Anolis sagrei: one gene and its partners. The protein of the gene in region 1 purifies or fractionates together with the protein of each later gene. This does not show direct contact. Links are inferred from orthologs where the notes say so. Each region holds a gene or a part of one and is shown on either strand. Other genes may lie near its edges.

Region 1 (7,507 bases):
TCCACGGTTTGGGATGTGCTAGACTTTTAAACATTGCAATTTTTACCTAAACACATCTATGTACAGTATAGGTTTATGTAGTTTAAACTGTTTTAATTGAACTTGTTTTAATCATTTTATTTATTTAATATGTCAATAATTTGTTGCATTTTTATCACAATTCTCTTATTTTCAGATTACGTTGTAAACTGTTTTGCACTCCAAACCATGGAAAATTGTATGTTTTAGTTTTTACAAAAAATAAATTGATTACAAGTAACATGTTATTTGTAAATAAACTCTGCCAAGCTTTGAATATATATATATATATATATATATATACATACATACATACATACATACATACACACACACAGAGAGAGAGAGAGAGAGAGCAGGAACCTATGGTTTTGTAGTAGCTTATGGATTGGATGATCCCTTGGAAAAATTAAAGAGATTTATGTTTTGTCACAATGGTGATAGTGGAAAGTTGTGATTTATGATTTTTTTTAAAAAAAACAATGTAAATGAAATGTGATTTGATAGTAGTTTAGAAAGTTCCCATGCAATTTAAAGAACAACAACAACAGTTATCGAAGTGTATTCATTTTAATTATATTGGACCTCACAAGCGGAAAAGAAAAGAAGATTTATAGTAAAGGTAAAAATATACTAGAAGCTTTGGGTGAAAAGAAAAAAAAGCTATTGAACCCAGAGCCTAAATAGTAGAGAGAAATAAGTTCCCTTGATACTGATGGAAAGATCTCTGGATGAGGAAGTTGGGTGTCATTGACAATCTCATGCAGCATTGTCATTTGCTCATGGATTCCTCACAGGACAGATTGAAGCTAAAAAAATAAGTATACTGTCTATAAGCCCATCACATAATTAAATGCAAGTGTAACGTATACAACAATGCTAAAGCCTAATACATAAGAATGTACATGGCAGCAGAAAAAATTAAACAGAGAAAGAAAAACATAATTATAATCCATTGCAGAGATATGTAAAGGAAATGGAAGAAGACATATGAGAAAGCTGTTTTTTAAACAAATTGTTTATTGCTTCCAATAATTTTCCTGTTAGGTTGAAAGATATTTTAAAGACAAAAATGACAAGCAAAATAAAAACAAGAATTAACAAAATGAATATTAAGTTGTATATTTATCAAATATGTGAAGAGATTTATAGCATGCATGTACCTGATTTAAACTCTACAAGTGTATTTGTATCTATTTCATGTTTGGCATTTCCTGATGTCGAGATACGAAGTGGTATAACTTGAGGCACTAGGATGGAGCCAGCAGTCATTTTTTCCTACAATTGTTTTTAAAAAACCAAAAGAAAAAAAACCCATAAATAAACATAGTACAGCAAGGAAAATTTAAGTCAATAAATCCAACTGAAGGATTTATCTACATTACCCCTCTGGGAATAAGGGCCCTTCTATACTGACCATATAATGCAGTTCAAATTTGCCTCCTCAAATTGCAAATTCCAAGACCCCATACAATGTTCCCAGGGTAGTTAAAGTAGAATAATAACATAGTATAATGTCATTAGTTTTTCTACAAGCACACACTGTATATTACACACAGCTAGAATTTTGAACTGTTGGTTCTTTCTGGGCCCTTCCACACAGCCATATAACCTAGAATATCGAGGCAGAATAACCCACAATATCTGCTTTGAGCTGGAATATCTGAGTCCACACTGCCAGATACCCCAATTCAAAGCAGAAAATGTGGGATTTTATTCAGCTGTGTGGAAGGGGCCTCACTCTGCTGCTATTTCTGAACCATGTTAGCCCAGAGAAACATTCTGGAAAACTTTGTATCCTTTGGGACTGACCTAATTAAATAAAAGTTTTCTGAAGGAGTTTAAGTTCCAAAAGGCTGTCTTAAAACCAGATTGAAAGGAATGTAGGGCCCCTTTCACACAGCTGAATAAAATCTCACATTTTCTGCTTTGAACTGGAATATATGGCAGTGTGGACTCAGATAACCCAGTTCAAAGCAGATATTGTGGGATTTTTCTGCCTTGATATTCTGGGTTATATGGCTGTGTGGAAGGGCCCCATATCATTACTATTCAGGAAAACCTAAAGTTGAACTCCTATATTTTCAAGTCACTTGCCCCTAAATTGTGGCCTAACAATTATACGGTTTTTATCCATGGGTTCTCCTCCACTTCTTCAAAGCTACTGGTGTCATACAGCTTCTTTGTGCATTTTATTTTGGGAGCTATGGCATGGCATGAGTTTTTTCAACTCCAAGGAGCTTTGGGAAGCCAAGCAAGCAGCCGAAACACCTTAAAGAAGAGCTTTCCAAAGATTTAATGCTGGTGACACATCTTTTTAGACAGGTATCATTTCATAACATAGTAATTCAGTTTTACTAGCAATCAACTCCTTGTAAGAGACGTAGAAACATACATGTCATAACAAAAATGGGCATTGTTCCATTATCAGGGCAGAAACCATTAGGGGCCACGAGAGAGAGGATACTTGATTATATGGGGGGTGGACAGTGGGTTGAAGGAGTAAAGTCATCCCTCCCCTTTTCCTGTTATTCTGCCCAACCCTCCTTTATGATATGGGAAGCAGAGAGGGGAAATAATCTCCAAAAACAGGGGAAATTATTTTCGTCCTTCAACTCCTTCCCATAAAATGAAGTATCCTTCTCTCTCTAGCAGCCTCTAATAGCTTCCACCTGGATAATGGAACAGTACCAAAAATGTATGGAAATACAACGTACCTCATGAAACTTGTAATTTATATATAAGAAATATATGATTTATTGCTTATTTTATATTGACCCAGAGGTTTTCTCTTCTGTTCACATGACAAACCTAAATTCTGAAGGTGATGCATGAATGTGTCCCAACACAGTTTGGAAACAGATATTGTGAGATGATCTGCCTTGATATTCTAGGTTATATGGCTGTGTGGAAGGGCCCTCATATAACCCTGTTCAAAGCAGATATTGTGGATGATCTGTCTGGATATTCTGTGTTATAAGGCTGTGTGAAATGGCCCTCAGATAACCCAGTTCAAAGCAGATATTGTGGTATGATCTGTCTTGATATTCTGGGTTATATGGCTGTGAGGAAGAGCTCTCTGTTCAAAGCAGATATTGTGGATGATCTGCCTGGATATTCTGTGTTATAAGGCTGTGTGAAATGGTCCTCAGATAACCCAGTTCAAAGCAGATATTGTGGGTGATCTACTTTGATATTCTGGGTTATAAGGCTGTGTGAAAGAGTCCTCAGATAACCTAGTTCAAAGGAAATATGGTGGGATGATCTGCTGTGATATTCTGGGTTATATGACTGTGGGCCCTTCCACACAGCCCTCTATCCCAGAATAATAAAGCAGAAAATCCCACATTATCTGAGTGTGCTTAGATAACCCAGTCAAAGTAGATATTCTGGAATATAGGGTTGTGTGGAAGGGCCCTGGGCGAATAACTGTAGCGTAGACCTTAACTTTTGAGTTGTTCAGGCATTTTTGAGTCATACAGAATGCCTGTAGTTTGTTGCCTTGTTTCCTTCTCTCAGCTGCTATTTCTGAGCCATGTTAGCCACACACAATATATAATATTATATGTATATGTATATGTATGTGTGTGTATATATATATATTTATGACCATCGTGGCATTGAATTGTGCCAATTGTAAGCCGCCTTGAGTCGCCTCCCTTCTATGAGAAAGGCGGCATAGAAATGTTAATTTTTAATTTTTGTATGTATGTATTTTATCTTTTATAATTTAGCTGTAAATCGCCTAGAGCATTCTCGGATGGAGAGCGATTAATAAGTTATTAAATGATGATGATGATGAAATGCCACAAATAAATAAATAAATAAAAATTGTTCATAACTTAGGGTCCTTCCACACAGCCATATAACCCAAATATTAAGGCAGATAATCCACAACATCTGCTTTGAACTGGGTTATCGGAGTCCACACTGCCTTATATTGCAGTTCAAAGCAGATAATGTGGGATTTTCGAGTTGTGTGGAAGGGGCCTTAGAGACTGCCTGTATTACCATTGACGAGTTCTAACCCACTTTGACTCTGCCCCTGAGCAGCAGGCCTTGGTCTAACCTGCCTCTCATTGCTTTGCTGTGAGGACAACAAGGGCATCACCCCCTTCTTGGGAAGAAGGCTCAGCATACAGTTCCATTAAGAAAAATCCCTTTATCCTGCAAAATCCACGCCCCTCCCTTTTCCCCTCCACTTTCCACGTCAGTCTCTGATTCTCAGAACTCACCGCCTGGCTGGGAGGCAAAGCAGAGTCTGCGACTGGCTTGGTCTCCGTGGCAACCGCAGCTTTCTCTGGGCGCAGCCTGTTGACGTCATCTGAGCGCGCCGCTTGCCTGACGCCGAATCGCCCACAGTCTGCATGGTCGGAGGAAGGAGAGCTTTGAGTGATGGCGGAGTTGAAAGCCCCAGAGCCCTTGGAAATCGAAAACAGGTGGGCAGGACAAAGTGTTGAGGGCCCTTCCATGTAGCTGACTAAAATCCCACATTACCTGCGTTGAACTGGAATATATGACAGTGTGGACTCAGATAATCCAGTTCAAAGCAGATATTGTGGGATTTTCTGCCTTGATATTCTGGGTTATATGACTGCATGGAAGGGTCCTAGAATAAAGGGAAACAAGGCTAAAGAATTGGAATGTAGTGGTGATAATAAGTGTATAGTGACTACTGTAAGAGTGTTTGTGTGGAAATGTTAAGGTGCCTGTATGCCAGTGGTTCTCAACCTGTGGGTTCCCAGATGCTTTGGCCTTCAACTCCCAGAAATCCTAACAGCTGGTAAACTGGGATGTGGCTGGGATTTCTTGGAGTTGTAGGTCAAAAAACCTGGGTACCCACAGGTTGAGAACTACTGCTGTATACATTTATGCAGCACATATAATACTATGGGCCTTTCCAGACAGTCATATAATCCAGAGGATTGTAGCTGTTTAATCAGGTTCATAGAAAGAGATGCGGTACTTCAAGTAACCTTGACCACTTCCTCAGCAAATATTGCTGCAGTTATATATGTTACAGTCTTAGCTTTTCCACAATTAACACCAATGTTCAAAATAAGTACTATTATGTAGTCTTGGGCAGTATGCTAAAACTTGGGGTGATAAGAAAAGTAGGTCCTTTTCAAGCAGGCCCTATATCTCAGGATCGGATCCCAGGTTTTCTGTTTATCCCAAATTATCTGATACAGTGTTGACTCATATAATCCAGTTATAGCAGAAAACCTGGGATCAGATCCTGGGAAATAGGGCCTGTCTGGTAGAGCCTTTACGGTGAGGGATACTGGAGGTGTGAACTCCTAAGGCAAGAACTGCTTTCTTTTGTACAGAATTAACCAATAGAGACAGTCAATGTATGACAGGGGTAAGAGCAACGGGACTCTTTTCTTGATCATTGTTCTTTATATTAGTTTTTGTTGTATTTGTGTGTGCTTACTGTTTATCACCACTTTTAATAAAAGGTGGGGTTTCTGTGTTTTAAATAAAATACATTGGCTAATGCGTTTTTGAGTTTTGTGTGTGGTGATCCCTTTTTATTTTTATTTTTTTGCTATTCCTACTTTGTCTAGGATCATTGAGCTTTGCCATCAGTTTCCTCATGGCATCACAGACCAGGTGATTCAGAATGATATGCCTCACATGGAAGCTCAGCAACGAGCCATGGCCATTAACAGACTGCTCTCTATGGTAAAAAGCCTATTAAGTTTGCATGAAAGTATGTCTTCAAAAATGCTGGATAAAATATAGTGGTTTATTATACTTCCTTTTAAAGTAGCAGTTCTTCTGGGTCTGCAAACTGATAGAACAGCTGTTGGTTCTATCTTCTGTCTCTTTATCTGTCTCTTTATCAAAAGGAGCATGCCACATTACCATTAATTCTAGCACACCTAAATCTTTGGTTTTTGTTTAGGATTGTTTTTATATTATACTAGCTTGGGGACCCGGCGTTGCCCGGGTTATTAGAGAAAGTGGGTAATGGCGGTTCTGTATGCCAAGTTTGGTCTTTATTGGTCTTTGGATAATGGCAGCATTATTTTCAGGAAGTGAGTGAAGGTACTTGAAGTCCCATCATCCATGGGCCATCCTCCTACAAACAGCAGCAGGATATAGAGTGGGTCATGGGGGCTTTGTGTGCCAAGTTTGGACTTTATCAGTCATTAGATGAGGGTGGCAGTGGTGTCAGTAAGTGAGTGAAGGTATTGCAAGTCCCATCATCCAAAGTCCATCCCCTTTCAAATTGCAGCAGGATGTAGAGTGGATCATGGGGGCTCTGTGTGCCAAGTGTGGTCTTGATTGGTCATTAGAAGGGGGTTGCAGCAATCTTTGGAAGGGAGTGGAGGTACTTGAAGTCCCATCATCCATGGTCTGTCCTCCTCCAAACTGCACCAGGATGTAGAGTGGGTCATTGGAGCTCCATGTGGCAAGTTTAGTCTTGATTAGTCATTGGCGAGGGTCTCAGTGGTCTCAGGAGGTGAGCAACAGTACTGCAAGTCCCATCATCCATCTCCAAAGTTTTCCAAATAACACCAGGACGTAAAGTGGGTCATGAAAGGTCCATGTGCCAAGTTTGGTGTTGATCCGTCATTGGATGAGGTTTGCAGAGGTCTCAGAATGTGAGTGAAGATACTGGAAGTTCCATCATCCATGGTCCACCCTTCTCCAAAACTGCAGCAGGATGTAGAGTGGGTCATGGGGGCTCTGTGTGCCAACTTTGGTCTTGATTGGTCATTAGATGAGTTTTGCAGTAGTCTTGGATAGTGGAGGTACTTGAAGTCCCATCATCCATGGTCTGTCATCCTCCAAACTGCTCCAGGATGTAGAGTGGGTCATTGAAGCTCCATGTGCCAAGTTTAGTCTTGATGAGTCATTGGCGAGGGTCTCAGTGGTCTCAGGAAGTGAGTGAAGTGACTGCAAGTCCCATCATCCATTGTCAAATTCTTCCAAACCGCACCAGGATGTAGAGTGAGTTATGCAGGCTCTCTGTGTAAATTGTGGTGCTGATCCATCATCGTTGGCAGTTGTAATGGTCTTAGGAAGGGAGTGCAGGTAATGCAAGTTCCATCATCCATGGTGCATCCTCCCTCAAACTGCACCTGGATGTAGAGTGCGTCATGGAGACTCAGTGTGCCAAGTTTGGTATTTATCGGTAATTGGATGAGGGTTGCAGTGGTCTGAAGAATTGAGCAGTGGTACTGCAAGTCCCATAATCCACGGTCCATCTCGGCCAAACCACACCAGGACGTAAAGTGGGTCATGAGAGGTCTCTTTGTGAAATTTGGTCCTGATCAGTCATTGGATAAGGTTAACAGCGGTCTCAGAATGTGAGTGGTGGTACTGCAAGTCCCATCATCCATGGTTCATAGTCCTCCAAACTGCAGTAGGATGTAGAGTGGGTGATGGGGGCTCTGTGTGCCTATTTCGGTCTGTATTGGGAGTGTTCTGACCCAGCCACCGGCCTTTCCTTTCCTCTCTTTCTCATCTCGGAATG
Region 2 (7,636 bases), on another chromosome or scaffold:
ACTATTAAATAATAATATTTTATTATTTTATTGAATTATTTTTTTTACATCCAATTTAATGTTACTACTAATACACTTCCCAAGATGGAGGGTTTAACTGTATTATTATTATTATTATTATTATTATTATTATTATTATTAAATGTGTATTATTTTCAGGTTTTTTTTTAAATGATACGAACTATTAAATAATAATATTTTATTATTTTATTAAATTATTTTTTTTACATCCAATTTAATGTTACTACTAATACACTTCCCAAGATGCAAGATTTGTGTGTGTGTGTGTATGTGTGTATGTCTATATATATTGCAAGATGAAGGGAATAAACCAGGCTTTGCAATGGGAGGAAACATCCCAAAATAATATCCCAATACTCAGTTCAGTAATAATAATAATAATAATAATAATAAGGCAGGTGTGTATGTGTGTGTGTGTGTGTGTGTGTGTGTGTGTATTGCAAGAAGAAGGGAATAAATCAGGCTTTGCAATGGGAGGAAACATCCCATAATAATATCCCAATATTCAGTTCAATAATAATAATAATAATAATAATAATAATAATAAGGCAAGTGTGTATGTGTGTGTGTATGTATATATATATATATATATATATATATATATATATATATTGCAAGAAGAAGGGAATAAATCAGGTTTTGCAATGGGAGGAAACATCCCATAATAATATCCCAATACTCAGTTCAATAATAATAATAATAATAATAATAATAATAATAATAAGGCAGATGTGTATGTGTGTATGTATTTGTGTGTGTGTATATATATATTGCAAGATAAAGGGAATAAATCAGGCTTTGCAATGGGAGGAAACATCCCATAATAATAATATCCCAATACTCAGAATAATAATAATAATAATAATAATAATAATAATAATAATAAGGCAGATGTGTGTGTGTGTGTGTGTGTGTGTGTTTGTGTGTGTGTATTGCAAGATGAAGGGAATAAATCAGGCTTTGCAATGGGAGGAAACATCCCATAATAATATCCCAATATTCAGTTCAATAATAATAATAATAATAATAATAATAATAAGGCAAGTGTGTATGTGTGTGTGTATGTATATATATATATATATATATATATATATATTGCAAGAAGAAGGGAATAAATCAGGTTTTGCAATGGGAGGAAACATCCCATAATAATATCCCAATACTCAGTTCAATAATAATAATAATAATAATAATAATAATAATAATAATAATAAGGCAGATGTGTATGTGTGTATGTATTTGTGTGTGTGTATATATATATTGCAAGATAAAGGGAATAAATCAGGCTTTGCAATGGGAGGAAACATCCCATAATAATAATATCCCAATACTCAGAATAATAATAATAATAATAATAATAATAATAATAATAATAAGGCAGATGTGTGTGTGTGTGTTTGTGTGTGTGTATTGCAAGATGAAGGGAATAAATCAGGCTTTGCAATGGGAGGAAACATCCCATAATAATATCCCAATACTCAGTTCAATAATAATAATAATAATTGGGAAGTGTCCGACGTGGGATCCAATTCAACAGCCAGCAGAGTGTCTGCTGTCGACTCATCTTGTTGTGTTTCAAATAATAATAATAATAAGGCAGATGTGTATGTGTGTGTATCTAAAGCCAGCACTTTGAATTGTGCCCAGTAACACACCAGCAGCCAGTGGAGCTTGTGCAACAGAGAGGTTGTGTGTTCCCTGAGTGCTGCTCCTGGTTGTAACCTGGTTGACGCCCGTTGGCCCATTTGGAGCTTCCGAACAGTCTTCAAAGGCAGCCCCATGTAGAGCGTGTTGCAGTAGTCTAAACGGGATGTAACCAGAGTGCGGACTACTGTGGCCAAGTCAGACTACCCAAGGTACGGTTGCAAGTTTTAATTGTGCGAATGCTCTCCCAGGCACTGCCGAAACTTGGGGTTCCAGGCTCAGCGATGAGTCCAGGATCACCCCCCCCCCCCAAGTCTGTCAGTGAAATCGGGCGCACAGGAAGGCAGGAACACGATCAATCACGGCCACCTTAGGCTATAAACTACTTTATTTTTACAGCTGTATACATTAGAAGCTACTTAACAGTCAGCACATCGTAAAACTTGCTTCTCACCATCCGATCGTAACATTGTGAGCACACGAACTGCTGTTATCAGTACTAGTCCACACCTCTTTTGCGAACACACGAACTGCTGTTATCAGTACTAGTCCACACCTCTAGCTTTCCATGACGCTGCGTCCATTTGCTCTATACACTTATGACCTCTCTAGGAATGCCCTGTTCGCCCTTGCAACTGACCAGGAGGACCTCTGTCTTGTCTGGATCCAGTTTCAACTTGTTCGCTCTTATCCAGACCGTCACAGCGGCCAAGCACCAGTTCAGGACCTGGACAGCCTCCTTAGTAGCAGGTGGGAAGGAGTGACAGAATTGGACATCATCCGCATACAGATGACACCACACCCCGAAACTCCAGATGATCTCCCCCAACTTCATGTAGATGTTAAACAACATGGGAGACAGTATTGAACCCTGAGGAACCCCACAAGACAATGGTTGTGGGGTTGAACAGGTGTCCCCCAATAACACCTTCTGAGATCGACCCTCGAGGAAGGACCGGAGCCACTGAAGAACAGTCCCTCCAAGACCCATCTCCTTGAGGCGTCCCAGAAGGATACCACGATTGACGGCCGCTGAGAGGTCCAGCAGAACCAACAGGGACACACTCCCCATGTATTATTATTATTATTATTATTATTATTATTATTATTATTATTATTTTCTACCAATTCCAACGGGTGTCACAGGCGAACTCTATTATTATTATTACTGTATTACCTTCTGGCAAGGAAACTAGTCCAATGTGAGCTAGGCAAAACTACGGTGAGGTGGATCAGTAATTGGTTAAGTGGACGAACACAGAGAGTGCTCACTAATGCTTCCTCTTCATCTTGGAAAGAAGTGACAAGTGGAGTGCCGCAGGGTTCCGTCCTGGGCCCGGTCCTGCTCAGGATCTTCATTCATGACTTAGATGAAGGGCTAGAAGGCAGGATCATCAAGTTTGTAGACGACACGAAATTGGGAGGGAGAGCCAATAGTCCAGAGGACAGGAGCAGGATTCAAAACGATCTTGACAGATTAGAGAGATGAATGGCCAAAACTAACAAAATGAAGTTCAACAGCGACAAATGCAAGATACTCCACTTTGGCAGAAAAAACGAAATGCAAAGATACAGAATGGGGGACAATGAGTCCTGGCTCGAGAGCAGTACGTGTGAAAAAGATCTTGGAGTCCTCGTGGACAACAAGTTAAACATGAGCCAGGAATGTGATGTGGCGGCAAAAAAAGCCAATGGGATTTTGGCCTGCATCAATAGGAGCATAGTGTCTAGATCTAAGGAAGTAATGCTACCCCTCTATTCTGCTTTGGTTAGACCACATCTGGAATATTGTGTCCAATTCTGGGCACCACAATTCAAGAGAGATATTGACAAGCTGGAATGTGTCCAGAGAAGAGCGACTAAAATGATCAAGGGTCTGGAGAACAAGCCCTATGAGGAGCGGCTTAAGGAGCTGGGCATGTTTAGCCTGAAGAAGAGAAGGCTGAGAGGAGAGATGATGAGAGCCATGTATAAATATGTGAGAGGAAGCCACAGGGAGGAGGGAGCAAGCTTGTTTTCTGCTTCCCTGGAGACTAGGACGCAATGGAACAATGGCTTCAAACTACAAGAGAGGAGATTCCATCTGAACATGAGGAAGAACTTCCTGACTGTGAGAGCCGTTCAGCAGTGGAACTCTCTGCCCCGGAGTGTGGTGGAGGCTCCTTCTTTGGAAGCTTTTAAGCAGAGGCTGGATGGCCATCTGTCAGGGGTGATTTGAATGCAATATTCCTGCTTCTTGGCAGAATGGGGTTGGACTGGATGGCCCAGGAGGTCTCTTCCAACTCTTTGATTCTAGGATTCTATGATTAATATATTCATTATTATTAGTATTTGGGGCAGATTTTTAACATTTTATATTCAATTATTTTGGTTTTAAATATATTGTAATTATTGCAATATATTAGTATTATTAATATATAATAATATATTATTATAATATATAATAATATGTAATAATAATTATTATATATTATTATGTATTATAATAATATATTATTATAATATATTATCATATATTATCAATAATATTATATATTATCAATAGTATATTATTATGATTTGGGATACATTATTATGATCTATTATTTTATTTATTTGGATATTATTTGTTAATATATAATAATAAATTATTATGATCTATTATTAAGTATTCTAATAATATAATATATAATAATATAATATATTATTAAGTATTCTAATAATATAATATATAATAATATAATATATTATTATATATTATTAATAATATATTATTATTAATATATTATTATGATTAGGGATAGATTATTATCTATTATTTTTATTTATTTGAACAGATATTATTTGTTTATTTATAGTATATCATTTAAAAATATAAATAGGAAACAAAGTGACTTATTACAAAGAGAAACCCAGGAATCAATTCTGCGCATGCGTGGAAAGAGGCCTCTTCCCACTGCTGGCAAAGGCAGGCCGAAGCCCCGCCCACTCTTCATTCACAAGAGAAAGCCCCGGCCACGCCCCTTCCCTGGATCTCCGCTCCCATTGGCCGCCTGGAAAGAAGTCCCCGCCCATTTCGAACGTTCCCCGGGCAAGCCTCTTCAGCCGCTCCTTCCGGGTCACGTGAGTTTTCTTTTGCTGCAAAGGAAAGCAAACCGACCTTATTTTTGCATTATTATTATTATTATTATTATTGTTAAATGCATGGGAAATAAATGTTGAATTAAATAATGAAGTCTTATTTTGCAATGTTTTCCTAAATATTAAGGAGTTAAATATTTAAATTAAAGGATAAATAATATTAAATAATAAATGATAAATAATATTAAATAATAAATGATAAATAATATTAAATAATATTATATATATTAGGTTCTTGTGGGTTTTTTTCGGGCTATAGGGCCATGTCCTAGAGGCATTTCTCCTGACGTTTCGCCTGCATCTATGGCAAGCATCCTCAGAGGTGTGAGGTCTGTTGGAATTAGGACAATGGGTTTATATATCTGTGGAATGGCTGGGGTGGGGCAAGGAGCTCTTCCTTGCTAGAGCTAGGTGTGACACCGTCTACAGAAAACCCACACACACAGATAGATATCTACATCAAAACTCCAACCATCACCCAAGTCAAAAAAGAAGCACCATGAAAGCCTTGGCAGACCGTGCAAAAAGAATCTGCGAAGCCCACCTCCTCCAAGATGGACTGAACCACCTCAACTGGGCTCTCCAGGCCAATGGAGACGCCACCTCAGACATCAGAAGAGCTGCAAGACCACTGAGAAGAAGCCACGAGAGTCAAGACCAAGATCCACCCAGAGGAAAAGTGTTCCTGCCAGACATCAAGGGAACCACTGACCGCAGAGGGAAGCTGATGAGGAAACACAACATACAAACAATCTACAAACCCACCAAGAAAATCCAACAAATGCTACGTTCAGCAAAGGACAAGAGGGATCCTCTCACCTCTGCAGGAGTCTACCATTGTATCCCATGCAGCTGTGGACAAGAAGTCTCCAGAGGGACCCCCAAACGCAGCATTGCCCAGACACGCATCAAGGAACATGGAAGGCACTGCAGACTCCTTCAACCAGAGAAGTCAGCCATAGCAGAGCACCTGATGAACCAGCCTGGACACAGCAGATTATTGGAGAACACAGAAATGCTGGACCACTCTCACAACCACCATGTCAGACTACACAGAGAAGCCATTGAAATCCACAAGCATGTGGACAATTTCAACAGAAAGGAAGAGACCATGAAAATGAACAAAATCTGGCTACCAGTATTAAAAAACTCTAAAATTATAACAGCTAAACAACAGAGAGGAAAAAAACCAGGCACAGATTAACACCTCCCACCAAGAGATTTTCCCAGGCTCAGGCAGGCCTTCAAATGCTAATGAAGGTGATCAGCTAAACATTCACACCTAACTGCAGCAGGGAAGAGCTCCTTGCCCCACCCCAGCCATTCCACAGATATATATAAACCCATTTTTCCTACTTCCAACAGACCTCACTACCTCTGAGGATGCTTGCCATAGATGCAGGCGAAACGTCAGGAGAAATGCCTCTAGAACATGGCCCTATAGCCCGAAAAAAACCCACAAGAACCTAGTGATTCCAGCCATGAAAGCCTTCGACAATACATTATATATATTATATATAAATTATATTATAAAATTATATTATTCAAATATTAAAAATGCATTCAATTAAATGCATTTGCAATTGATTTTAATGCATTCTGAAATATTTGAGTAATTAAATGTTAAATTAAATAATGAAGTTTTATTTTGCAATGTTTCCTAAGTATTAAGGAGTTAAATTATTAATAATATTTAGGAAACATTGCAAAAAATATTTAATTATTCATAATATTTAGGAAATATTGCAAAAAATATTTGATTATTCATAATATTTAGGAAATATTGCAAAAAATAAGATCGGTTTGATTTGAAAGCCTTCGACAACACATTGCAAAAAATATTTGATTATTCATAATATTTAGGTAACGTGAGTTTTCTTTTTGCTGCAAAGGAAATCAAACCGACCTTATTTTTGCAATATTATTATTATTAGTTTTAAATGCATGGAATTAAATGTTAAATTAAATAATGAAGTTCTATTTTGCAATGTTTCCTAAATATTAAGGAGTTAAATGTTTAAATTAAAGGGTAAATAATATTACTTTGCTATATTACTCAAATATTAAAAATGCATTCAATGAAATGCGTTTGCAATTTCTATTATATATTAGATATATTTATCATTACATTAGTATTACATTATTATATTATTTCTTCTATTACTTATATATTACATATTATTATATATTCTATATATTTATTATATTATTGTAAATATATTATTATATTACTTATTCTATTACCTATTATTATTATTATTATTATTATATAAATTAATGCAGTCTGAATTTAATTTAAATATGTAATTTCATTATTATTATTATTATTATTATGTATATAATATTTTCACAAACCCCGATGACATCCAGACATCATGTTATTATTATTATTATTATTATTATTATGTTTATAAGGCCCCCCGGTGGCACAGTGGGTTAAACTGCTGAGCTTCTGAGCTTGTTGACCGAAAGGTCACAGGTTCGATTCCGGGGAGCGCCGTGAGCTTCCCCTGTCAGCCCTAGCTCCTGCCAACCTAGCAGTTCGAAAACATGCAGATGTGAGTAGATCAATAGGTACTGCTCTGGCGGGAAGGTAACGGCGCTCCATGTGGTCATGCTGGCCACATGACCTTGGAGGTGTCTATGGACAACGCCGGCTCCTCGGCTTAGAAATGGAGATGAGCACTAACTCCTAGAGTCAGACATGACTGGACTTAATGTCAGGGGACTACCTTTACCTTTACCTTACTATGCTAATAATATAATATATTGTATGTATATATATTTTGTAAGCCGCTCTGAGTCCTTTTCGGGGTGAGAAGGGTGGTATATAAGTACTGTAAATAAATAA
Region 3 (7,690 bases), on another chromosome or scaffold:
TTTTAAAAAACACTATGAATGCAGGGAGATGAAGTGCAGTAAAAAAATACTTTCCAACAGTTTCTTATTACCTGAGAAGCTATGAGATGGATAGACACCTTAACTTTTTTTTTTAAAAAAAAGAGTACTACTCACAGAATCTCACAGGTGTTTTGGGCATGGTGGCAAAGGAATTATTGGCATTTTGGTCCAAAGAAGTAACTTTTCTTAGCTTTGGTTGAATTCAAGCAAAGTTGTCATAGTTGGGTCCTACTGATTTCAACAGTGATAAATTTCAAACAACTTAGTCTGAATTCAGTATGTTTTGGAAAACTTTCAGGAAGAATATTATGAGGAAGCAATAATTTTGTGATTTTATCTATGACTTGAAAAGGGCATTTTATATAGCATGGTATGTCCATTTAGCAATCTGTACATGTCCTCTAATGTTCATAATCTTTTCAATGTTCAGATTAATCAGTACAATTAATTTGTCCCTCTTGCATGTTGCGTGGTGAAATTATCCAAATATGTTTAACTCCATTCCCTTCGCCCTAGCCCTACCAGGGCTCAATGAAAGCAAGGTATTGTTATGTAACTGGCTTATTTTTGTGTTGATATCTGTATTAATTAAATTCCGTTTGACTTTTAAAGTATTTATTTATTTATTTGAAATCTTTATATTTCACCCTTCTCACCCCAAAGGGGACTCAGGGAAGTTCACAACGTATACACGGCAAGCATTCCATGCTGGAACATAAAATAACTATAAATATACACAAACACTACAAACAGTTATATCTACTTTAAAATCAGTTGCTTAAAAACCATCTCAGAACACCATGATGGCTCCAGTTAGTGGAGTGGGTTTCCTATTATTGCCCTATTGCACTGTCCCAAAGGCTTGTGAAACAGGCTGGAGAACAGCTGAAGCATTTTTTGCAGAGTCCACTGTAAACACTGTAGGTTGTTGCTAACAGATTCATGTAAATGGGTGGTATTGTTGCCAAATTTTTGTGACCCCAATATTGAGCAAAGGGGACCCTATATGTTTAAGAAGCAGTGCTCTAGAAGACCCCAAATTATGGTACCTTTTCTGTTTGAACCACCACTTAAAACTACTGCATGCTCTCTACATTTGCAGTTCTGGCTTCTTCATATTTGATTATTCAGAAATGTGATTAAAAGTGTTATTTGTAGGAAGATTTAGGTGCTCCAGTGTGACTTTAATGAATTTCCTCCATTCATGCTGGAGCAAGGGTCCAAAAAAGAAGTGGTTGTCCTCATTTCTCCTAAGATCTTGTCCATGTCCTCGGGCCAAACAAGCTGAAAAGAATCCATTAAACAAGGACAAGCAGATGCCTCATTCATATTCACGGAGACTGCATTAATACTGGTGTGTAAGTCAGAGCGGATCAGAGTGACTTTATCTGCAAAGAACCTAGCAAACTCTTAACAACAAACTGCCGATTGGTCCGGAAAGAGTTTAGAAGCCCCCTTACCATTCGAAACAGTTCTATTGGGCAAGTCTTTGTGGATGTAATGTTGGTGGCAATAAATGATTTTTCTGCCACCTTAATTGCTCTTAAATAAGCTCTAGACTCACTGCGCATGGTACGCTGCTGTAGTTTCCACTTCACTTGCAAGCCCCAACAAATGTGGGGAGCTGGTTATATTTCCTCCAAACAGGTCCAGCTTTTTTGGCACAGAAATTCAGCAATGGGAAGTGATTCACCTGTCAAATTAATTTTTCATCCCACTCTCAGTTAATTAGGAAAAAAGCAAAAAGCAGTTGCCTGCAATCATAACTAACTAAAAATCCAAAAAAATGCACAGTCACAAATGAAATCTGAGAGTCAGATTTCCCTCAAAACTGGGGAAAATATACAGGCTATTATTCCAATAAGTAATTCTGCAAATTGTTGGTAAGTGGTGTTACTGTATTATTATAATTTCCCATTTTTATCTGAGACAACATTAATAACAATATTAATAATAATGTTATTTCTTACCCGCCTCTCCTTGAGGCTAGAGGCAGGTTAAAGGTAAAGGTGTTCCCCTGACATTAAGTCTAGTTGTGTCCAACTGGGGATTGGTGCTCATCTCCATTTCTAAGCCGAAGAGCCGATGTTGTCCGTAGATACCTCCAAGGTCATGTGGCCGGCATGACTGCATTGAGCACTATTGAGGCTAACAGCAGGAGCTCATGTCCGACTCTGGGGATTGGTGCTCGAGCTGGTGTTGTCCATAGACACCTCCAATGTCATGTGGCCAGCATGACTGTATGGAGCGCCGTTAGGGCTAATAGCAGGAGCTCATGCCGCTTCCCGGATTTGAATCTGTGACCTTTTCATCAGCAAGTTCAGCAGCTCACTGTGCCACCAGGGGCTCCTAGAGGCAGGTTACAGCATAGTTAAAACACAAAAACATTGTAAACATTCTGTATATGCACATAATAAAATATATTTCTATAAAATACATATTAAAATGCACAGAACAGAGATTAAACACAAGACACGAGTTTTAAATACTTTATTATTGTTATTATATTGAGAAGACTCAAAGCGGCTTTACATAAACTACAACAAACAAAAACTACAACATACAAATATTAAAATAGAATTGAAGCAGAAAATTAAAATCCCTTAAAATAATTAAAAATTATTACAATACTTTGAACTACACATAACTGCACTGATATTCCCCAATCCAAATAATTCCAAGAACATTTCTATCCTCTGTTGCAATAATTTCTGCTTTGGGTTACTGTAAGTTTTCTGGGCTGTATGACCATGTTCCAGAAGTATTCTCTCCTGACGCTTCACCACATCTATGGCAGGCATCCTCACAGGTTGTGAGGTCTGTTGGAAACTAGGCAAGTAGGATTTATGTCTGTGACATGTCCAGGGTGGGAGAAAGAACTCTCGTCTGCTTGAGGCAAGTGGGAATGTTGCAATTACTCACCGGAGCGTCATACAGGGAGCATACCACCCCCCTGCTGTTTCAGCTCCACTGGCTGCCAATCCAGTTCCGAGCACAATTCAAAGTGCTGGTTTTGACCTACAAAACCCTTTATGGCTCCGGCCCAGCGTACCTGTCCGAACATATCTCCTTCTACGTCCCACCTCGGAGGTTAAGATCTTCTGGGGAGGCCCTGCTCTCGGCCCCACCTTTATCACAAGTGAGACTGGTGGGGATGAGGGACAGGGCCTTCTCGGTGGTGGCCCCTCGCCTGTGGAATGCACTCCCTGGGGAGATTAGGTCATCAACATTCCTCTTCTCCTTCAGAAGGAAGTTAAAAACCTGGATGTGGGACCAGGCCTTTGGGTAAGCTGGCAGTTGGACAAAATACAATGACGACCAAAGTAGGAAAGGACAATGACGATGCTAGACGGATCATGAATTTATGAATTGGCGAACATTGACCGCAAGATGATTTTATTGCTGCAACTGTATTGTTTTTTATTGTTTTAATTAGTTATAATTGTTGACGTTATATTGTAATTTTGTATATTGTATTTTGTGAGTTGTTGGGCATCGAATTGTGCCTTTTGTAAGCCGCCCTGAGTCCCCCCCTAGGGGGTTGAGAAGGGCGGGGTAGAAGCACCCCAAATAAATAAATAAATAAATAAATAAAATTAGTCACCTTGATTAGCACTGAATGGCCTTGCAGCTTCAAAACCTGGTTGCTTCCTGCCTGGGGTGAATCCTTTGTTGGGAGGCCCTGACTGTTTCTTGTCTGGAATTTCTGCTTTCTTCAAAATACTGTCAAGAAAGAAGCCCTCAGGTAGAGCAGAAGGAAACCATTCGGATAGGAAATTCTTTTAACAATATAGTTAGCTGTAAATAAGAGTTTTGGAAGCTTCAGTTAGTCCAACGTGCGGCAGCCATGATTCTAACCGGAGTGGAGCGCAGGGAGCACACAACCCCCCTGTTGCGCCAGCTCCATTGGCTGCCGATTTGCTACCGGGCTCAATTCAAGGTGTTGGCATTGGCCTATAAAGCCCTAAACGGTTCTGGCCCAAGATACCTTTCCGACCGCATCTCGGCCTATGAACCCACCAGGACTTTGAGATCTTCCGGGGAGGCCCTGCTCTCGATCCCGCCGGCTTCTCAAGCACGGTTGGCAGGGACGAGAGATAGGGCCTTCTCGGTGGTGGCTCCTCGGCTGTGGAACGTCCTTCCTACAGGCATTAGGCTGGCGCCATCTCTCATGGCATTCCGAAGAAAGTTGAAGACCTGGATGTTTGTGCAGGCGTTTGAGTAATTTAGTGCAATCTGGTAATGGAACATAGGAATGGAACAATGGACGACGAACCTGGACTACGCTTGGATGATGAGAAGATTGGGTACGGTTGTTTTTTGTAATAATTGTGCATTGTAATTGCTTATTGGTAATTTATGGATAATGTGTTAAGTCAATTGTTATATGTTGTATGGAACCACTGCTGTTTCTACTGTTTTTACTGTTTGTGAACCGCTGTGAGTCGCCTTCGGACTTGAGATACAGCGGTATATAAGCAAAGTAAATAAATAAATAAATAAATAAATAAATAAAGGCTTCTAGGAAACGTGGCGGAACCTTTTTGGACGTCCTCAGTTGCACTTCCGGTCAGGTTTCAGCGACGCACACGCATAGCTCTGTGGAAGGCGGGGACTACGCATGCGCCAACTTTCTGGCTGTTGCCGGTTGTTTTTCTCTCTCCAGCATGGACGATCTGGTGGCAGAGCTGGGAGCCTCCACTCCGGAGCAGCTGGCGGCTCCTGTAAACACGGTGGAGGTGAGTGAGAATGGCGAGAGCATCCGAAGGAAAGAAAGAAGCGGCTCTGCCCAAGGGATAGGGGTAAATGTGGCTTCCGAAGTCCACGGTGCGCATGCGCTAAGCGTCAAGGCATGCCTGGCTGCTCACTCAGCCCTAGAGTGCGCATGCGCAGTAGTAGAGCCACAACAACCTCTGGTGCTCCTTTCCTGGATGCAGCCATGCTTGAGAAATAACGCAGCTTGACACCACTTTAACTGATCATTGGATTTGTAGTTTGGTGAGGCACCAGCCCTCTTTGTCAGAAGAAATACCGTGTACAAGAAAACGTTTGTGTTTCCATAGCATGGAGACATAACAGTTAAAGTAGTGTCAAACTGCATTATAGAATCATAGAATCAAAGAGTTGGAAGAGACCTCATGGGCCATCCAGTCCAACCCCCTGCCAAGAAGCAGGAATATTGCATTCAAATCACCCCTGACAGATGGCCATCCAGCCTCTGTTTAAAAGCTTCCAAAGAAGGAGCCTCCACTACACTCCGGGGCAGAGAGTTCCACTGCTGAACGGCTCTCACTGTCAGGAAGTTCTTCCTCATGTTCAGATGGAATCTCCTCTCTTGTAGTTTGAAGCCATTGTTCCGCGTCCTAGTCTCCAGGGAAGCAGAAAACAAGCTTGCTCCCTCCTCCCTTAGTTCTACAGTATAGATGCACCACATGGCCCCTTGTCCTTTTTCGAGGAAGCCAATAGAGCAGGCATGGGAAAACTTGAGCCCTCCAGGTGTTTTGGACTTCAACTTCCAGCCTCAGGGCCCTTCATTAAGTGGCTGAAGGGGGAAATAATAATAATAAACCTTTATTTGTACCCCGCTACTATCTCCCGCAGGACTCGGTGCGGCTTACAAGAGGCCGAGCCCAAAGTACATCATTAACAAAAACACAACAGACAACAATGCAATGCAACAATAAATAAGCAAGCAATAAAACAATAACAAAAGCACAGCACTGTTAAAAACCTGTGGCAGGGCCAAATGTAATAGTTAAAATTCTAAAAATTCGGGCCTGTCCAGGTGAGGTAGAATGGATATTTTGGGAATAGAAGGGTGTGCAGACAATTCTAACTCTCTCATAAAGTGCATTAGGGACAATTGCTTGGGATTCCTTAATCTGGGAAAGCACACTGGAACATCCATGTTTTCAAGCTCTTTCTGAAGACTACCAGTGTTGGGGAGTGACTGATGTCCTTGGGGAGGGAATTCCAGATTCGTGGGGTCACCACCGAGAAGGCCCTGTCCCTCGTCCCCACCAATCGCGCTTGTGATGCTGGTGGGATCGTGAGCAGGGCCTCACCAGATGAACGAAGGGATCGTGTGGGTTCGTATACGGAAATGCGGTCACGCAGGTAGGTGGAAAGGAAAGGGCCGAGGCTGTTAGGAATTGTTGGAGTTGAAGTCCAAAACACCAGGAGGGCCCAAGTTTGCCCAGGCCTGCAATAGAGGTATTTTTATTTCCCAATAAATCAACTACACAGTGCAACTCAATATGTATATACTCAGGAGTAAATCCCACTGAGGGCCTAATCACACTAGAGAAAAAAAATCTACTTAAAATCCGTTTCCTGTAGAATTCTGGGGTTTGTAGTTTAGGGAGGGGCCTTTAACAGCCTCACTACAAACTCCAGAATTCTGCAGGAGGCAGAATTTTAAGTGGATTTTTTCTCTAACGTGATGAAGTCATAAGTTAAGTGTGACTTGTTCCTCAGATAAATGGTTCTAAGAATATAGCCACACTGCACAATTATAGCACTTTGATAGTATTTTTAACTGATATGAATGCTGTAGATTTCTGGGATTTGTGAGGTTTTTCGCTTTCTCTGCCTGAGAGCTCTGATGCCACAGTGCACATTCCAGAATTATATGTGCCACTAATTGTGGTTCTCAACCTGGGGTCCCCAGATGTTTTTGGCCTACAACTCCCAGAAATCCCAGCTAGTTTACCAGCTGTTAGGATTTCTGGGAGTTGTAGGTCAAAAACATCTGGGGACCCCAGGTTGAGAACCACTGCATGGCTTTGGGGAAAACTCAGTTCTGCTTATGGAGCCAGTACATTCAGTTAGTTTTAGTGATTGTGAATATTTCTTCAGCAAGGTAGCTGAAGGGAAACCTCGTTAGATTGCTTGAGTAAAAAGAATCTAACAGAGGGGGTTTTAGGATCGCCAGTAGTGGAAGACTGGGGATTCAGTGGTTTGATCCGGTATAGGACAAACAGTGTGAATGTTCACAATTAGGAACACTGAAATAATAAAGCACTTCACTGTAGAAGGAGTTTATAAGAATTGTAACATCTAAAGCCTGAATGTATCACAGCCAAGCCATATTGTAACCAACAAGCATGTGCCAAGTTCAACATCTCAATATTACAACAATTACGCTTTGTTAATAATAAACTTGTTCTCTTTGTTATTTTAAACCTGCCTCCTCCATTGATTTTATGTTCGGTGTATTCCACTCTACCAAAGTTACCTCACAACGCAAATAGGAGTAAATAGAGACTTTAAGACCAGCGTCTTTACATTTTATTGGTGGCAGTTTAATTTAATAGCAGTCTAGGGACTTCCTTATATTTTTGGTAATCCCATTTGGTGGGATAAAGACTTCTTCACATAATTTTGGAGACAAGCGGTGGCATTAACGCTTCCTCACATAAATATTATTAGCAATTTCAACCCATCATTATAATTCAGGCTTTTTGTTTGGGTTAAAATAGTTGCTGATTAAGTTTATTCTTATATTCCAAATAATTCTAATAATAATAACTTTATTCTTATATCCCATGCCATCTCCCCAAAGGGGCTTGGGGCGGCTTACAGATGACACAAAGTACTTAAAAACAAACATAAAAGTGAACACAATATAAAATACAATAAATTAAAACACATTTGCATATAGAAACAT
Region 4 (7,941 bases), on another chromosome or scaffold:
GCTATGGTGGCAAGATATGCTGAGATCTGAGGACCAAAAACATTTGAAGGATGACTCCTATCCCAGTTCTAGATTATTTCCCTCTTTTCTAGCAACAGCAGGCCTCTTAGAATACACGTTTAATTTTAAAATCTATCAGTCAAATCAATTTAATTATAATAGTTGAGAAACTTCTTATAATACAATCTGAAATATTCAAGTTAGAATAAAGAAGAAACAGTTTCACTACGTTATTAAAAATTCAGTTAGAAAAACCTATCCTTCATTATTTTAATACATATAAACATAATAAATATAGTTATAAAAATCACACAATGCCAGCAACACTATTTTATCCCATTACCGGGAGAAGAAAAGTTTGCTTTTTACCGGATTTCTGAAGAGTGATATAAAATCAGGTTTATGCTTCTTTAAAATCTGGTCAAGAATATGTATTGCTTCAGGTTGCCTTTTCCAAATGGCATTAACAACTGCTTGCCAAATGTCTTTGTAGGGTCCCCATAAACTGGCAGCTAAAAGCAAAATAGACAAAGCAAGAAAAAAGCAAGATATTTACCACAAGTGAATATTATGATTAAACATTATTCATGTGCAAAAATATTTTACAGAAAAATATTTAAGATAAATTAATTAATTTTTTACAAAAGCAGCAATCAGCTTAGTGAACAGAGACAGGAAAGCAAAAGAAAAGTCCCTATGTGGGTAATCATTTATTTGATAACATAGAATCATAGAGTTGAAAGAGTCTTTGTGGGCCATCCAATCCAACTCCCTCCCAAGAAGTAGAAAAACTGCATTTATTTACAATATTTATATGCTGCCCTTCTCACCTTGAAGGGGACTCAGAGCAGCTTACAATATGTAAATACAATATATTATATTATTACCATAGCACAATATTAATATTATATATTACTATATTGTACTATAACATTATACTGTAATATTATTCGTAGTACTATATTGTATTACATTATAATAGTATCAATATTATATGTATATACAATATATTATATTATATTATATTATATTATATTATATTATATTATAAGCACAGTGCAGGAGACAAGATGGAAATGCCTTCCTGGCCCCTCTCTTCACTCTGATCTCAGAGCAGCAGTTGGTGCTGGGGGGGAGCTCACATTCAAAGCACACACACACACATTCAAAGCAAGCCCACCAGTATAAATAAGTTGTAAACTACAAAAAATGCATGCCACAAAATATTTGTTGGTTTTCCACCAAATGGGAGAATACTAAGGCGCATATTTACATCTCAGGAAGATTTCACCTGAACATTAGGAAGAACCTCCTGACCATAAGTTTAAAGTCTTATAGTTATATGATTGATAGCTATAAGTTGTAAGTAATTATGTTTGTTAGATTTTATTTATTGTGATTTGTTTGTTTAATTTTCTGCTTGTGTGACTGTTATCTTGTATTCTGTGTTGTAAGCTGCCCCAAATCCCTTTGGAACGAGGGGGAGGGATATAAACAAAGCATTATTATTGTGATTATTATTATTAGAGCTGTTCAACAATGGAACTCTCGGCCTCAGAGTGCGATGGAAGCTTCTTCCTTGGAGACTTTTAAACAGAGGCTGGATGGGTTGCTGTAAGTTTTCCAGGCTATATGGCCATGTTCCAGACGCATTCTTTCCTGATGTTTAACCCACATCTATGGCAGGCACCCTCAGAGATTGTGAGGTCTGTTGGAAACTAGGCAAGTGCGGTTTATATATCTGTAGAATGTTCAGAGTGGGAGAAAGAACTCTTGTCTGCTTGAGGCAAATGGGAATGTTACAACTGATTGCCTTGATTAGCAATGAATAGCCTTGCAGCTTTAAAGCTTGGCTACTTCCTGAATGAGGAAATCCTTTCTTAGGAGGTGATTAGTTGGCCCTGATTATTTCTTGTCTGGAATTTCCCTGTTTTTGAGTGTTGTTCTTTATTTGCTTCCCTGCTTTTAGTTTTTTAATAGTGTTCGCCTGACATTGCTCATTTTCATAGTTTCCTCCTTTCTGTTGAAATTGTCCACCTGATTGTGGTGGTTGGGATGCTTTGTTTGTGCATGACAGAATGGGGTTTGCCTGGATGGCCAATGCGGTCTAGTCCAACTCTTATGATTCTATGAAAACACATTCATGCAGCATTTTGTTTTTTCTTTAAGTGGCTGCCAGAACCTATTCCTTTTTTTAAAAAAAAATATTTATTGTAGTTTTACATATTCAGTGTTTAAACATTCTTATACTTATCACTTCCCCTTAACAAATTGTATACAGAAACCTATTCCTACTCTTCCCTGCCTCTGGTATCAAAGTTGCTGCTAAAGAAGTAAGCTTAGGAATGTATTGCCTGTCCTTAGAAAACTATCATTCTATTATCTTACAATTCTATTTTATTAATACCACTATTCCTCCGTGCTTCTCTCTGAATCGAGGAGACCCAGAGTGGTTATACCAGGCGTGGGCAAACTTGACCCCTCCTTCCAGGTGTTTTGGACTTCAACTCCCACAATCCCTAACAGCCTCAGGACCTTTCCATTCCCCCCTAAGCCACTGATTCTCAGCCTGTGGGTCCCCAGTTGTTTTGGCCTACAACCCAGGAATCCCAGCCAGTTTACCAGCTGTTAGGATTTCTGGGAGTTGAAGGCCAAAACATCTGGTGACCCACAGGTTGAGAACCACTGCCTAAGGCTGTTAAGGATTGTGGGAGTTTCCAAAAGTTTGCCCCTGCCTGATCTACACTGTTATGTAACTGCACTGGGTTATACTCATGTACTTAGGAGCAAGCCCCATAGAACTTGGCTGCTGTGGGTCTCAGGCAGTCCTCCACGTTCCCTTCCACGGCAAAGAGTGGCGCAGGGCCCAAAGACAGGGCAAGGCAACCCCAAAACGATGCCGCCCCGTCCCCGAATGAGCCTCAGGCCAAACTCGGGGCTCTTCTCACCTGAAATTACCGCCAGCGGCGCCGACATCTTGGAAACTCGCGAAGGGGCTTCAAGGCGCCCTCGCTTCTCAGGGGCCTAGAGCAGGTAGAGGTGCCCGCGATCTGCCGGATCAGGAAAAAATCCTCTCTTCATAGACAACTCGGCTAATAAATGGCAAATGCATATTATCAGCGTTTTCCATTATTTTAGCCACATGTAGGAGGGTAGTGCTTTAGTCCATTACGACAAAAGCGCTCAAATTGCACGACCGGAACGCAGGCACGATTTAGACGCCTAAGATCGAAACATGGAAAGAACTTTGGGGTTTGTAGTTCTAGGCCCAGCGGGAGAAAAAAGGGCGGGAAAGTCGAAATAGAAACCCTTTTTTTGCGGAAGAGGAAGCTTCTTGAATCTATCTTGGCAAGGAAACCCGTGATAGGGTTGCCACAGGTTGGAAACTGCTTCAGGGTACACAACAACAAGGCCTTGTTGAACAGAATGGATTGATGTCATGTCCAAAGCTTTCATGGCCGGAATCACTGTGTTGTTGTGAGTTTTCCGGGCTGCATGGCCATGTTCCAGAAGCATTCTTTTTTGACGTTTTGCCCACATCTATGACAGGCATCCTCAGAGGTTGTGAGTTCTGTTGGAAACTGGACAAGTGGGGTTTATATTCTGTGGAATGTCCAGAACTCTTGTCTGCTTGAGGCAAGTGTGAATGTTGCAATTGGCGACCTTCATTAGCATTGAATGGCCTTGCAGCTTCAAAGCCCGGTTGGTTGCTGCCTGCAGGAATACTTTGTTTGAAAGTGTTAGCTGGTTTAACTTTTCTGAGTATTCTGCGGATATTCAAGTCCTCTTATATACAGTGGCGTAGAAAATTGACATCCTTTATATAAAACATCCTAAGTGGTTCTCAACCTGGGGTCCCCAGATTATTTTGGCCTACAACTCCCAGAAATCCTAACAGCTGGTAAACTGGCTGGGATTTCTGGGAGTTGTAGGCCAAAAACATCTGGGGACCCCAGGTTGAGAACCACTTGTAATGTTCGTTTGTGGGATTAACATAACTCAAAAACCACTGGACATATTGACACCAAACTTGGCCACAAGACACCTACTAACCCAAGGAGTGACCATCACTCAAAAATTTTGATTTAGTCATTTGGGAATTGTAGTTGCTAGGATTTATAGTTCACATACAATCAAAGAGCATTCTGAACTCCACCAACGATGGAACTGAACCAAACGTGGCACACAGACCTCCCATGACCAACAGAAAACACTTGAAGAGTTTGGTGGACATTGACTTTGAGTTTGGGAGTTGCAGTTCACTTACATCCAGAGAGCACTGTGGACTCAAAAAATGATGGATCTGGACCAAATTTCGCAGGAATACTCAATATGCCCAAATATGAACACAGATGGAGTTTGTGCAAAATAGACCTTGACATTTGGGAGTTTTAGTTACTGGGATTTATAGTTCACCTACAATCAAAGAGCATTCTGAACTCCACCAATGAGGGAATTGAACCAAACTTGGCACACAGAACTCCCACTGCCAACAGAAAATACTTAAGGCCATCCAGTCCAACTCTCTTCACCAGGGCAAGAAAACGTAAACAAAGTCCTTTTGACAAAGAGCCACCCAGTCATATGATTCACGCGCATAGTATAGATTTGAAAGGGACCCCTAAAGAAGGACAATTATATGTTGCATGTTCCAGAGTAGGCAAATCAGACAATCTCCACATCAACACTGACAAAGAAACAGCAAGAAATACTGTTTACTAACAAGCATAAAGAAATTACATATATTAGAAATCAACACTTTCTCATTACTTTATTGTCCAGATCACCATGCTGGGCCACAGCAACGCCTGGCAGGGGACGGCTGGTATAAAATAAATGTGTACTTTTCGGATTTAAAAAAATATGGTCAGGCCATGAAGGCTTGGGTAAAGGATCTGTGAACACAGGAGGGTGACTTGTTCCCAGCGCTCCAAACTACAGCTCCCACCATGCACAGCGTTTTCCAGTGTTCTACTTCCTCTTCGTAGCCTTGCTGTTTGCCGCGCATGCGTGGTGCGGTAACCCGAACGGATGTTTATCGCCTGCTGGAGAAGGAGAGGGTCGCGTGGCGAAGCGGTTGTGGGTGAGTTAGATGCATTTCTGATTTCCAGGGATATAATCGAAAACAACGGAGAGGTGCTCTAGGAAAGATATGCTTCCATCTTTGGAGGGTCTTCTGTTCTGTTGGGGATGCTGACTGCTTGTGTGGATAGAAAGCCACTGCTGGCTTCAATAAACTACCTCAAAGCAGGCCTTTGCAAGTTGTAACTGATGGTAGAACAGGTATAACACACTTAAGCGGCTGAGAGGGAAAAGGAAGGGGCCTGAGGCTGTTAGGAATTGTGGGAGTTGAAGTCCAAAACAGCTGGAGGGCCCAAGTTGGCCCATGCATGTGGTAGAACAGTGGTTCTTAACCTGTGGGTCCCCAGATGTTTTGGTCTTCAACTCCCAGAAAGCCTAACAGCTAGTAAACTGGTTAAGATTTGTGGGAGTTTTAGGCCAAAACACCTGGAGACCCACAGGTTGAGAACCACTGTGGTAGAAGATCCCTTCTGTATGTCCTTTCTGTGGTTCTGGGCCTCAAACTACTTCCAGTTGCAAATTCCCTTCTAATGTAACCAGTAAGAGAAGAAGCCAAAACTAGGAGAGGCTTCTTCTCCAATGCAGAGCCAACCTAAAGAAATGGGACTACAAAGTGGAATCCACAACATGCGAGTGTGGAGAAGAGCAAACCACAGACAAACCTATTACAATTCAGCCTGAGCCCTGCCACATGCACAATGCAGCAACACCAGGGGCACTCCAAGTGGCCAGATACTGGTCAAAGGACATTTAATCAACTACCAAGCTTGCAAACTTCGTGTTTTGTTAAAAAATGCAATGCAACTGTTTGGTTTGCCCCTGATACGATAAATAAATAATACCTAGTACAACATTCAGTGTTCCTCACAATTGTAGTTGCAGCCTGACAACATTTTGAGGAGTCACACAATTCCTACCAATGATTTAAGCCTCCTTCCACCAGTATAAAATCGAAGGATAAGCTGATCTTATATTTTGCTCAAGTGTTGGCGTTTTCTTCCCTTAGACCACAATTAGAACTTGCCACTTTCTTCTCCAACAGCTATCACTACAGAAAGGAGAGTCCTCTTGCTGATTTTCCCTTCTCCCCAGGAGCATTGTTTTTGCAAGTTATCATGTTTGTGTTAGTGGAGATGACAGATACTGTGCGAATCCCTCCATGGCAGTTTGAAAGGAAGCTTAATGATGCCATCACTGAAGAGTTAAATAAGAAACTGGCCAATAAGGTAAACTTTGCATGGTTTGTCTCACTACTATACTGTCACACAGATTCTAAAGACAGTAAACTTTGGGTGTATACAAATAATATGTGTATTTATTTGCTTAATCTGTTTTAATTGTTTATTTGTTGGAATACGTTTTTATGACTGTGTCTATATGGCATTGAATTTTGCCAGAGCTGTAGGCCACCATGAGTTCCCCAAAGGGGTGAGAAAGGCAGTGAACAAATAAAGATTATTATTATTATTATTATTATTATTATTATTTACTGCTCCATCTTACATATGTCAAAGGCAGATTATTCCCAGTTAAGCGAATGAAGGATTGTGGACAAATGTCGTGTGGACAGTCATGGTGCTGTCTCATATATTTAATGAATGTAGCTGCAATGCTAAAATTATACACTGTAAAGTCGCTGATTTTGATCAATATAAATTTAGTATCTTTTCACTAGTTACATTTAATATGTAAATGAGCTCCCACATGACATGAAATAGAAGAGTGAAGAGATGTTGAAAATAATGAGAAATTGATAAGGAGACTGGCTACTCAGAAGTATGAACCTTCATTTCCCCCTTAACCACCCCCTCTGTTATCATTCTTTCTTGTTCTTGTAGCGTTACTTGCATATTTGAATTATTTTTATCTATCCAGTTATAGATCCGTTCACCAGTTTGGTTTGTTGGTACAGTATTCCTTGTTCTGTTTCAAGGGGGCTAACACATCTCTTCCAAAGTATTCAACTTCATTGATTTTTGGATTTATTTCTCTAAACAGGTTGTGTATAATGTTGGCCTCTGTATTTGTCTCTATGACATTACAAAGCTGGAGGACTCCTACATATTCCCAGGAGATGGTGCATCACACACAAAAGGTTTGCCTGTTGTTTTCCATGTCAATTATTTTTGGATCTGACAACTATGGATCTTCAAGACTACCCTCTAGGCAACATAATAATTTCTGGGTAACCACAGCACTCCATATTTTTTTATTATAACTCTGTTGTGCTGATACATAATACAGCTGGAAAGCACATTTTTGTGGCATACGAAACTGAAAAAATTATGTTCATTCTCCTTCATCCTTGGTACCATTTTTGCTTAGGACAGGTTAAGGTACCATTTCTGCCATGCTGTATACATTTTCTCATTTAATGCTAGCATTCTCACACTTATACACTTGTTCCATATTCTATCTTGATGTTCAATCTGTTAACAAACTGGCTTATGCTCATTTGCCTTGCAAGTACAGCTGTAATTATTTATTAGCTGCATTTATACCATGCTTTTTCTCGTGCTATACAATGTTGCTATGCTAATTTTGTGCACATGTATGTTTTGACAACATACAAGTGAAACATTTATCTAAGGAAAATCTGCTTCCTTCTTTATAGTGCATTTTCGGTATGTGGTGTTTCATCCCTTTCTTGATGAGATTTTGGTTGGAGAGATAAAAGGCTGCAGTCTAGAAGGAGTTCATGGTAAATTTTAATTTTTATTAAAATTCTAGACCTGTATTCAGATATATCTGTGGGGGGCCTGAAGAGAGAATTAACATCATGTTATACCCTAATGGCTTCTGTGTTAATCTGAATGTTCTTCTTGCAGTTTCCCTTGGGTTCTTTGATGATATCATCAT

The links.
Region 2: the proteins of POLR3F (region 1) and POLR3GL purify together in Homo sapiens (co-immunoprecipitation; 5 studies listed by BioGRID and IntAct, counting the BioPlex papers as one, with this or other methods). This does not show direct contact. The link is inferred for Anolis sagrei from reciprocal best matches to the Homo sapiens genes POLR3F and POLR3GL.
Region 3: the proteins of POLR3F (region 1) and POLR3B fractionate together in Homo sapiens (co-fractionation; 4 studies listed by BioGRID and IntAct, with this or other methods). This does not show direct contact. The link is inferred for Anolis sagrei from reciprocal best matches to the Homo sapiens genes POLR3F and POLR3B.
Region 4: the proteins of POLR3F (region 1) and POLR3H purify together in Homo sapiens (affinity purification with mass spectrometry; 4 studies listed by BioGRID and IntAct, with this or other methods). This does not show direct contact. The link is inferred for Anolis sagrei from reciprocal best matches to the Homo sapiens genes POLR3F and POLR3H.

What each region holds. Positions count from the first base shown.
Region 1 is NC_090024.1:133,272,933-133,280,439, forward strand, and holds the start of POLR3F (DNA-directed RNA polymerase III subunit RPC6), read left to right. Parts: upstream 1-4,333; 5' UTR 4,334-4,413; coding exon 4,414-4,457; intron 4,458-5,588; coding exon 5,589-5,706; intron 5,707-7,507. Other genes in the region: DZANK1 (double zinc ribbon and ankyrin repeat-containing protein 1), read right to left, coding at 1,182-1,290. UniProt on the Homo sapiens protein: DNA-dependent RNA polymerase catalyzes the transcription of DNA into RNA using the four ribonucleoside triphosphates as substrates.
Region 2 is NC_090032.1:21,351,562-21,359,197, reverse strand, and holds the start of POLR3GL (DNA-directed RNA polymerase III subunit RPC7-like), read left to right. Parts: upstream 1-4,561; 5' UTR 4,562-4,575; coding exon 4,576-4,767; intron 4,768-7,636. UniProt on the Homo sapiens protein: DNA-dependent RNA polymerase catalyzes the transcription of DNA into RNA using the four ribonucleoside triphosphates as substrates. Specific peripheric component of RNA polymerase III which synthesizes small RNAs, such as 5S rRNA and tRNAs.
Region 3 is NC_090025.1:169,715,363-169,723,052, reverse strand, and holds the start of POLR3B (DNA-directed RNA polymerase III subunit RPC2), read left to right. Parts: upstream 1-4,607; 5' UTR 4,608-4,688; coding exon 4,689-4,760; intron 4,761-7,690. UniProt on the Homo sapiens protein: Catalytic core component of RNA polymerase III (Pol III), a DNA-dependent RNA polymerase which synthesizes small non-coding RNAs using the four ribonucleoside triphosphates as substrates.
Region 4 is NC_090025.1:157,994,882-158,002,822, forward strand, and holds the start of POLR3H (DNA-directed RNA polymerase III subunit RPC8), read left to right. Parts: upstream 1-4,888; 5' UTR 4,889-5,006; coding exon 5,007-5,083; intron 5,084-6,124; coding exon 6,125-6,308; intron 6,309-7,080; coding exon 7,081-7,177; intron 7,178-7,696; coding exon 7,697-7,783; intron 7,784-7,910; coding exon 7,911-7,941. Other genes in the region: nuclear pore complex protein Nup205, read right to left, coding at 370-512, 2,949-2,976.